Tribolium castaneum: one gene and its partner. The protein of the gene in region 1 interacts with the protein of each later gene in a biochemical or structural test. Links are inferred from orthologs where the notes say so. Each region holds a gene or a part of one and is shown on either strand. Other genes may lie near its edges.

Region 1 (4,585 bases):
AAGGATACCACTAGAATACTCTTTCAGTTAACAACATTTCAACAATAAAATAATCTGAAGTTTTGTATTGAGAAATGCCAAACACTTGTCAAAACTTCAGTACACAGGAGAAAAATCGTAAATTTTCACATTGTGGAAGATTAAAATCCATTATTGTTTATAAAGTCTAGTAAATCTACGATATGTGGCTAGTTTTCCCCTATTTCCAACATTTCCATTTTCTTTTTACTTATGTACACTTGAAAAATTTGAAAATGTCGTGTCAATAATTTCAAGCCCACACAAAAATGAATTATTGTAAAAAGTTTAGTAAAAACATGTATGTGGCTAGTTTTCCTCAATTTTCAACATTTTCCATTTTCTTTTTACTGAGTACATTTGAAAATTTTGAAAATGTGTCGACAAACCAACGAGCCCACGCAAAAATGCATTTGTTTTTTTGAAATATGATTGAATTATATATTAAATATTGAAATATGATAAAGTAAAATCTCAAGATAAGATTTATCTAAAAGAAATGTTGGAACTGAAGGCAAATGTATTTTTATTGCTAAGTAGGAGAAGAAAGCTCGATTAATGACATTTTCAACTTTTTCAGGTATACTTACGTACTTTCGATATTTATTTAACTTTATATCACTTGAAGGAGGTAATTTCTAATTATTATTACTTCATTTAGCTCGAATTTTTCTACAGAGTATGTCATTAAGTTCAATCAAGATTTCAAAAAAAATATACAAGGTGTACTCTAGTTTTTTGATTAAAAGTAGTGCATTATGAAATTATATTTATTATACCAACCGTCGGTTGGTGTTTTGGTTTTTATGGAAACACTCATATTTCTTATTTTCCATTTGGCTAAAAGCAGTGTTGCCAGATTCCCATTTTAAAGTACAATGTGTTTTTAAATGATTCCCATCTAGTCGTCTGTGAATTTCTCATGTAAAATCATTTAGACATTGAATATTACCATTCTTCATTTATTAAATCTCGAATTCGGAAATAAGCTTCGATATTGAAAGTGTTTTCTTGGACAGTGTAACAATTTAGTTGTATTTTAACAGAATTGTTGAAGGAAATTAATTGAATCTCACAACTTACAGATTTGACATTTGTTGACAGAGCGGCACAATTTTTTTACATGTAAACCAATTTCAAAGTTAACTAGATGACAATCATTTAACAACACATTGTACCTTCATTTGAGTCAATTCATTTTCTCTTTTAATTGTTGGAATTTTTTCGTAGGAAATTTGTCAATGTCATAAAGTCATAAAGTCCAAATCAGTGCCCTATTTCACTTCAAAAACGCTAATACGCTGTTGCCATTTTCTCTAAAGTTCTGTTTTAAAATGTTTTTAATTAAGAAATTAGATTTTTTGAGAAACAAAATTAAGGCGTAATTACTCTTGTCGCCTATTTAAAAACAGACAGACCGTTTAATTTTTTCATGCCCAAAATATGAAACATTTAATTTTTGGCACAGTAATAAAGCGCACTCATTAATAATAAATATTATTTCATCTGCTGTGCAGTTGGTAAGTTACCAACACACAAAAATGAGAAAAAAAGCGCAAACAAATGTGTGAAATTACATAAATGTTGGAACTAGAACCCATTCACAAAATTGTTCTTATCTAAAGATTTACGTTTTCATGGCCAACTATTATCTATAAATTATATTGAATGAACGAGAAAAAATGAATGAAATCTACAAATATTCGTCCAAATTTTTCCCCGTAATAGTTTTATCAAAATTTGAAAATGTTTGTTTAGGTGATTAGATAAAATCTCTACAAACTATTCACCTCTTTACATTTTCATGACCTTCTGTGTGGAACACAAAGATTTTTTCATTAACAAGCATTACTATAATTCTCATAAAATTTGAGTAATCAAAGTACTTTCATGGCCAACTGCTACAAGTAAGGTCAACGAATGATATCTCTTACTATGTAGTAAAAATAAATATTTGTAGCAATTTTTCACAGAAATTTCTCCTCCATATTATAAAGCGAAACACGTGTTGTGATTAATCATCAATTCATCACATAATTCTGGAAATCTAAGCAGCGTAATTACTTAATTAGTAATTAATCGTGGCATGTGACTTGGGAAATTTTCGTCAATTATCTTAAAAAAATGCCAAAATGCATGGTTTGGTTTAGATTTTTTTTTATAGCATAAATATTAGGAGGGTCAAAGTGTATCAGTGGTTGTTTTTTGTGTCATTGTACAATTTTCACAATTTTTTATCATTTTGAGGTTGTGAAACGTGATAACTTTTGGCCGCGTTGTCATCAATCACCAGTGCCACCTTCGATTGTAAAAATTTGATGATTTGACGGTTTTTCCGTCCCCTATTTTAATCAAAACTGGCGTTTTCTCGGAAAGCTTCTTTCACAAATGCCGCGTCTACACACGTGCCAACGCGTTTAATTAATCGTGTACTTCCCAGAACCGCGCACGTATATACATATAGATCATTCCCGGAATCGCACGTGACGCATTGCCAGCCAATCAGAACGCTCGATTCTGACTTGACCGACAGTTCCAGGTGTTGTTATCAGTATTATTGGTCGCTTTCCAAGTGGCCAATTGTAGAAGACTGACGGATGATATGGATAATGAGATTTCGGTGGCGTCCGGATCTATGGCTTATCGGGACCAAGACGAGTGGATTAAGATAAGCGCTCCACCTAAACCCGTTATCAGCAAAACGGTGGGCTCCTACGTCGAGCTCGAGTGCGAGGCGATGGGCTCGCCGCCCCCCACCCTACAATGGCTAAGAGGAAAAACCCCCCTTACAGAGGTATGCAAAAAATCGCGCTGCTTTTGACGCACACTGTACAAAAAATCCAAAAACGCGAAAAAATTTTTTAATGTAAATATTATTTTTTCGGAGAAAAATTAATGTTACGGTTGGCACCACTGTTTTTTTCTCACTTTAATTCTGATCTCAGTGTTTGTGTTTAAACTCTTATCAGACATTTTTTATTAAAACGATAATTAAAATTAAACACAATTTCAAAGCGTCACCTTCAAATAAACGTCATTAATTTATTTATTGATAAAACCAAACATTCAGCGTATTATTATTGACTTAAAGTCCTCATTATTCAAAAGCGCAAACACGAAACATTATGTCGTGGGCGAATTAACCGGATTATAATTGTTTACTCTCTATCAATAATTAACTGAAAACCACCCTCGCACGTGTATAATTGGTTGCCTACCTTCTAGCACCAGAGCTTTGAAAGCAACATGATTTCGGAAACCCCTTCTGAAGGACTCGGCAAAATCAAAGCTCGTCTCGTCATCAACTACCTCCTACCCGTCCACAGTGGCCGATTCACTTGTGTCGCTGAAAGCGGCTCCAAAATAGTAACTGCAGACAGCACCATCTACGTGATCAAAAAAGAAGGTAAAAACAGATAAAAAAATTATAAAAAAAATAGATAAGCTTATGGACGCCTTCGCCATTACCGTGTGCAAATTTCAATATACTCGGACGGATAGTTTGCGAGAAAATAAATTTTTCGTTTTTTTGTAATTTAATTTTTTATTATTAAAAATAATCGTGGAATTGTCATGAAATTTAATCCTGGGGCTTTAGTCACATCTTTGCCTCATTTATAAATTTTTTAGTTAGTTATGAATCCATTTTTTGGAAAAAAAATTTAAAAAAATATCAGGTGCAATGTTGGTTGCCTGCTTCAATTTTTCTAAAATATTTTTTACTAGAATTTAGTCAGCCAGTTGACATGGAATTTGGTCCCAACACTTGCAATTGCTTAGTTCGAGCTTAAGCTTTAGCTTACGTAAACTCGGTTTAAATTTAAACTAAGTTTAAATCGTAGTTTAGTCTGGAAATGGTGTAACGTTGGTTGCCTGCTTTAGGTTTCGAGCACAACTTTACTCAAGTGCTCACTACGAAAATCCTGGGGGCGCACCACGTGCCCCGGATATCCCTTTGGGCCCCCACCTACATGGACGTGATTGGAACGAATGTGATTTTGCCTTGTCGCACTTTAGGCAATCCTAAGCCGAGCCAAATGTGGATTGACCCTCAAGGGCAGATAATTGGCGAAAATGACCTTCGTGTGAGCGCCCTTCCTGACGGCTCGTTGAGCATTCGGTCGCTCAGTTGGGCTGATATGGGGGTCTATACTTGTGTGGCACGTAACATGGTTGGGCAAGACTCCGTTGAGACCTTCCTTTACCCCATGAAGGTACAATTTTGATTTTTTTTTTTGGTTTTGGTGATTATTTGACTAGGGATTGCAGGAGTCCAAATAACGAAACACAGGGGGCGCAACGAACGCACTTTATGTCAATCTAGTCAATGTTCAATTTGAAAATACTCCTAGGATAGTGTGGCCGTTATTTATGGAAATTCCATCTAGTATTTATGAGTTAGGTATTTATATGTGTAATAATTACAAGACCGCTGTACTTATTTATATTATTGTAAGGTTTGTAAGTAAATAAAGAAAATATCAAGCATTAAACCCACCCGAGCGTTTATTTATTGTTTCCTAACTGTATAAACTCAATAAAATTTCCTGAAATCTTAATCAAGTCG
Region 2 (2,940 bases), on another chromosome or scaffold:
TTATGGATACAAACTCTGTGTATCACCTATATACATGCTGACGTTTTGCAGCTTTTTTTGGTAGAGCTTGTTCAGTTTTTTTTTTTTGAAAAAGCAAATTTATTTTAAAATTCTCTTCATTAAATTCAAAAATAAAAAAAATCAAATAGGGTCAGCTTGAAAAAAGAACGCTTGCAGTTGCATTCGAAAAGTTAAAATATGAATTATTCTCTTAATAAAACTTGTATATTTTTTCAATCTATAAAAAATAAAAACATTAACAGTAGAGTATTTCTTACTGATTAGTGATTAATGATTTGGTACTCAAATTGCAAAAGGCTAAATGACTATTACCTACAACTTGAACTTTGGTTCTTAAAATGGTTAAAACCTTATTTTTCTAGTATTCTCAGTTTTTGTGTAATACATTTTTATAAAGAAGTAGAAACCTAGTATTAGAAACGACAAATAAAAGTTTCTGAAGATGTTTTATTAAAAAATACTTTAGTTTTGTATTGTAACTTTTTTTAGAAACTGAAAAAATTTATTAATTTTCGAGCCTTGGAATCTGATAAAAACAAATCAGTAAATATGTGTCTGCTTTTAATTTCATTCTTTTTATCAATTTTCTCTAAAATTTTAAACTATTCTTTGTTTTTATTTAGTTTATTTGTATGAAATACAACCCAATTTTGCAAATTTAATGATTTAAAAAAAACGTTTAGCAACTTACTTTTGTAATTTCATTATTGTATCAACGTTTGTTGAACTTGAACGATTATTTAGTGATCAAGTAAAAATAATGAACTGAAAGTTCGCTAATTAACACGAACACTTTTAAAACACTCGTTTTTTGAGCATTTGAGGGATTGTCCCTGGCAACTTTGAATTATCAACTAGTTAAAAATAGTATTAATTATTTTGTTGTTTAGATCCTCAAACCATTTTTTAAGGCCCTGGTTTTATTTAAATTAAGAGGTGAATTTTAATAGGTTATAAGTATAAACATAACAAGCTCAAAGAAAAATAAATTCTGTTTGAAGTTTTGTAATTTTCTTATTAGTTCCTTTTAGTGGAAATTCAATATGCGATATATTCTCTCATAGTAATTTCATTAATATGCACAAAATAGAGAGACAGAAAAGTTAACTAGAAGAGGATTTCTAGAACCTCTACAATCGAAGAAGATTATTTGATTTTTTGATTATTACCGTAATTTGATTTAGAATGGATTTTTTTCAAAAATTTATTGTACATCAAAAGTAGAACAATTACTCGTTGTTAATTTTTCAAATGTAGAATATTTAGGGCTGATTTACAGTACGTTTTAATCGTAATTAAATTTTAATTTCGCTTTCTGTATACCGACCCTTAATGTTTGAACATTATTTATTAGACATCAAAATTTTATTACATGATATTTTTCCGATAACAGTTTAATGACAACATGGAAAGTTCTTCGTAATATAATTTGTGATGATTGTATGTTATACCATAATTAATTCTCAGCAAACTAATTGACTTTTTATTCAGTCTTTGTTCACTATCTTAACCCACAACCCTTGTCTTTAGTGGCTTGGAAATAATTGTGTACCCATCTGTACTAAGGGGGTGTACATCGAACAAGACGTCTGACCTATATTTGCATAATTTTGTGTGATATTTTGGACTCTTCATGTAAACACTATTCCTATAAAAGCGAGAGTTTTGTCCGAAAATGATAGTTCGCAAACTACTTCCAGCAACTAATAAAGTAAGTTACTTGTTCCAAAACCCCAATAAAATACGTGTTTCAACAGATGGACAAACGAGTTCTGCTCTTCTTCTTCCTCATTAACATTATTTACGTCTGGTCTTCACCGCACATGGTCCACTTGATGAACAAACGCGAAATTTTCTGCGGCACAAAACTGGCCGAGACTTTAGCAATGCTCTGCAAAGGGAACTACTACTCTCCGAATCCAAACCCAACCAAAAAGTCGAGTAAGAATCGATTTTTTGTTATGTTGCGAGTAATAACACTTTTCCAGCCAATGATATTTTCGCCTACAACGAATACGACGAGTATTTCCCCAACGAGAGCGACGACGAAAATCAACTCGATTTTCCGTTCCTTCAAAAAGAAGCGGTCAATTCGTTTCTTCCAATCAGATTTCGGAGGACCAGAGTTGGGATTGTGGACGAATGTTGCCGGAAACCCTGCTCTCTCAAACACTTGAGTTTGTACTGTGGACAATAACTTAATAATAGTGCTCGTAGTTACGCTAAAAAATTATGATATTTTTTGTAAAAGAATAAACGATGTTGCATACACTTTGTAGTTTTATTCTTTTCGTTTTGAGTGATTTTTTTCCCAAGGTTGTTCAAAAATAGCCGCAGCTTCGCTGTTGTATCAGACATAAAATACCAAACCATCATGCGTTTAAAAATAAATTCGTTGTGACAATGTCGGCTTCCTGCAGTTGCTTGAAGTTGTGTTCAGTTGTGGTTGCTTTATCGAACCTTGTGAGTGCATTTTTTGTTTGATTAACCCTGGAATCGACTTTTCAGACCTTGGGCTTGTACATATTGGCCGAAGGAATTTTGCTGTTAACGAAATATTTAAACAACGATGCCGACGTGACGGTAGGTTTCGTCGTGGTGGATTTCCAAATGGCCTCGTTTCTTATTTTCGTTGGTCTGTTATTATTAATAGGTATCATAAAGGTTGGTTCATTTTGCGCGCGTTTCAACGCTCATTTTTCGATTTTTTAGGGGAAAGAGAAACATATTTCCTTGTATCTCTTGTTGAGTTCGCTGATTTGGTTTATTATAACTATGTTGGCGGTTAGTTACATGATTTTTTACAATACAACAGGGATGACTGTTGAGATACAACACAGTGTGGAAAATAATTACACGACGGCTGAACCAAAACCCAAAGAAACGGTTCCGATGGAAAAAGCTGTGGGATTTTCGCTT

The links.
Region 2: the proteins of ImpL2 (region 1) and LIRP-like form a complex in vitro, tested with the Drosophila melanogaster proteins (2 studies listed by BioGRID, with this or other methods). The link is inferred for Tribolium castaneum from reciprocal best matches to the Drosophila melanogaster genes ImpL2 and Ilp2.

The regions. Positions count from the first base shown.
Region 1 is NC_087401.1:8,465,023-8,469,607, reverse strand, and holds ImpL2 (ecdysone-inducible gene L2), read left to right. Parts: upstream 1-1,745; 5' UTR 1,746-2,551; coding exon of another isoform or gene 2,552-2,620; coding exon 2,621-2,812; intron 2,813-3,243; coding exon 3,244-3,424; intron 3,425-3,900; coding exon 3,901-4,232; intron 4,233-4,278; coding exon of another isoform or gene 4,279-4,287; coding exon 4,288-4,299; 3' UTR 4,300-4,504; downstream 4,505-4,585. UniProt on the Drosophila melanogaster protein: Essential developmental role during embryogenesis, in particular the normal development of the nervous system. May be involved in some aspect of cell adhesion.
Region 2 is NC_087402.1:11,374,413-11,377,352, forward strand, and holds LIRP-like, read left to right. Parts: upstream 1-1,578; 5' UTR 1,579-1,696; coding exon 1,697-1,732; intron 1,733-1,778; coding exon 1,779-1,962; intron 1,963-2,009; coding exon 2,010-2,218; 3' UTR 2,219-2,292; downstream 2,293-2,940. Other genes in the region: uncharacterized protein LOC103312864, read left to right, coding at 2,425-2,484, 2,530-2,685, 2,734-2,940. UniProt on the Drosophila melanogaster protein: Possible ligand of InR/insulin-like receptor. Plays a role in regulating body size by increasing cell size and cell number of individual organs.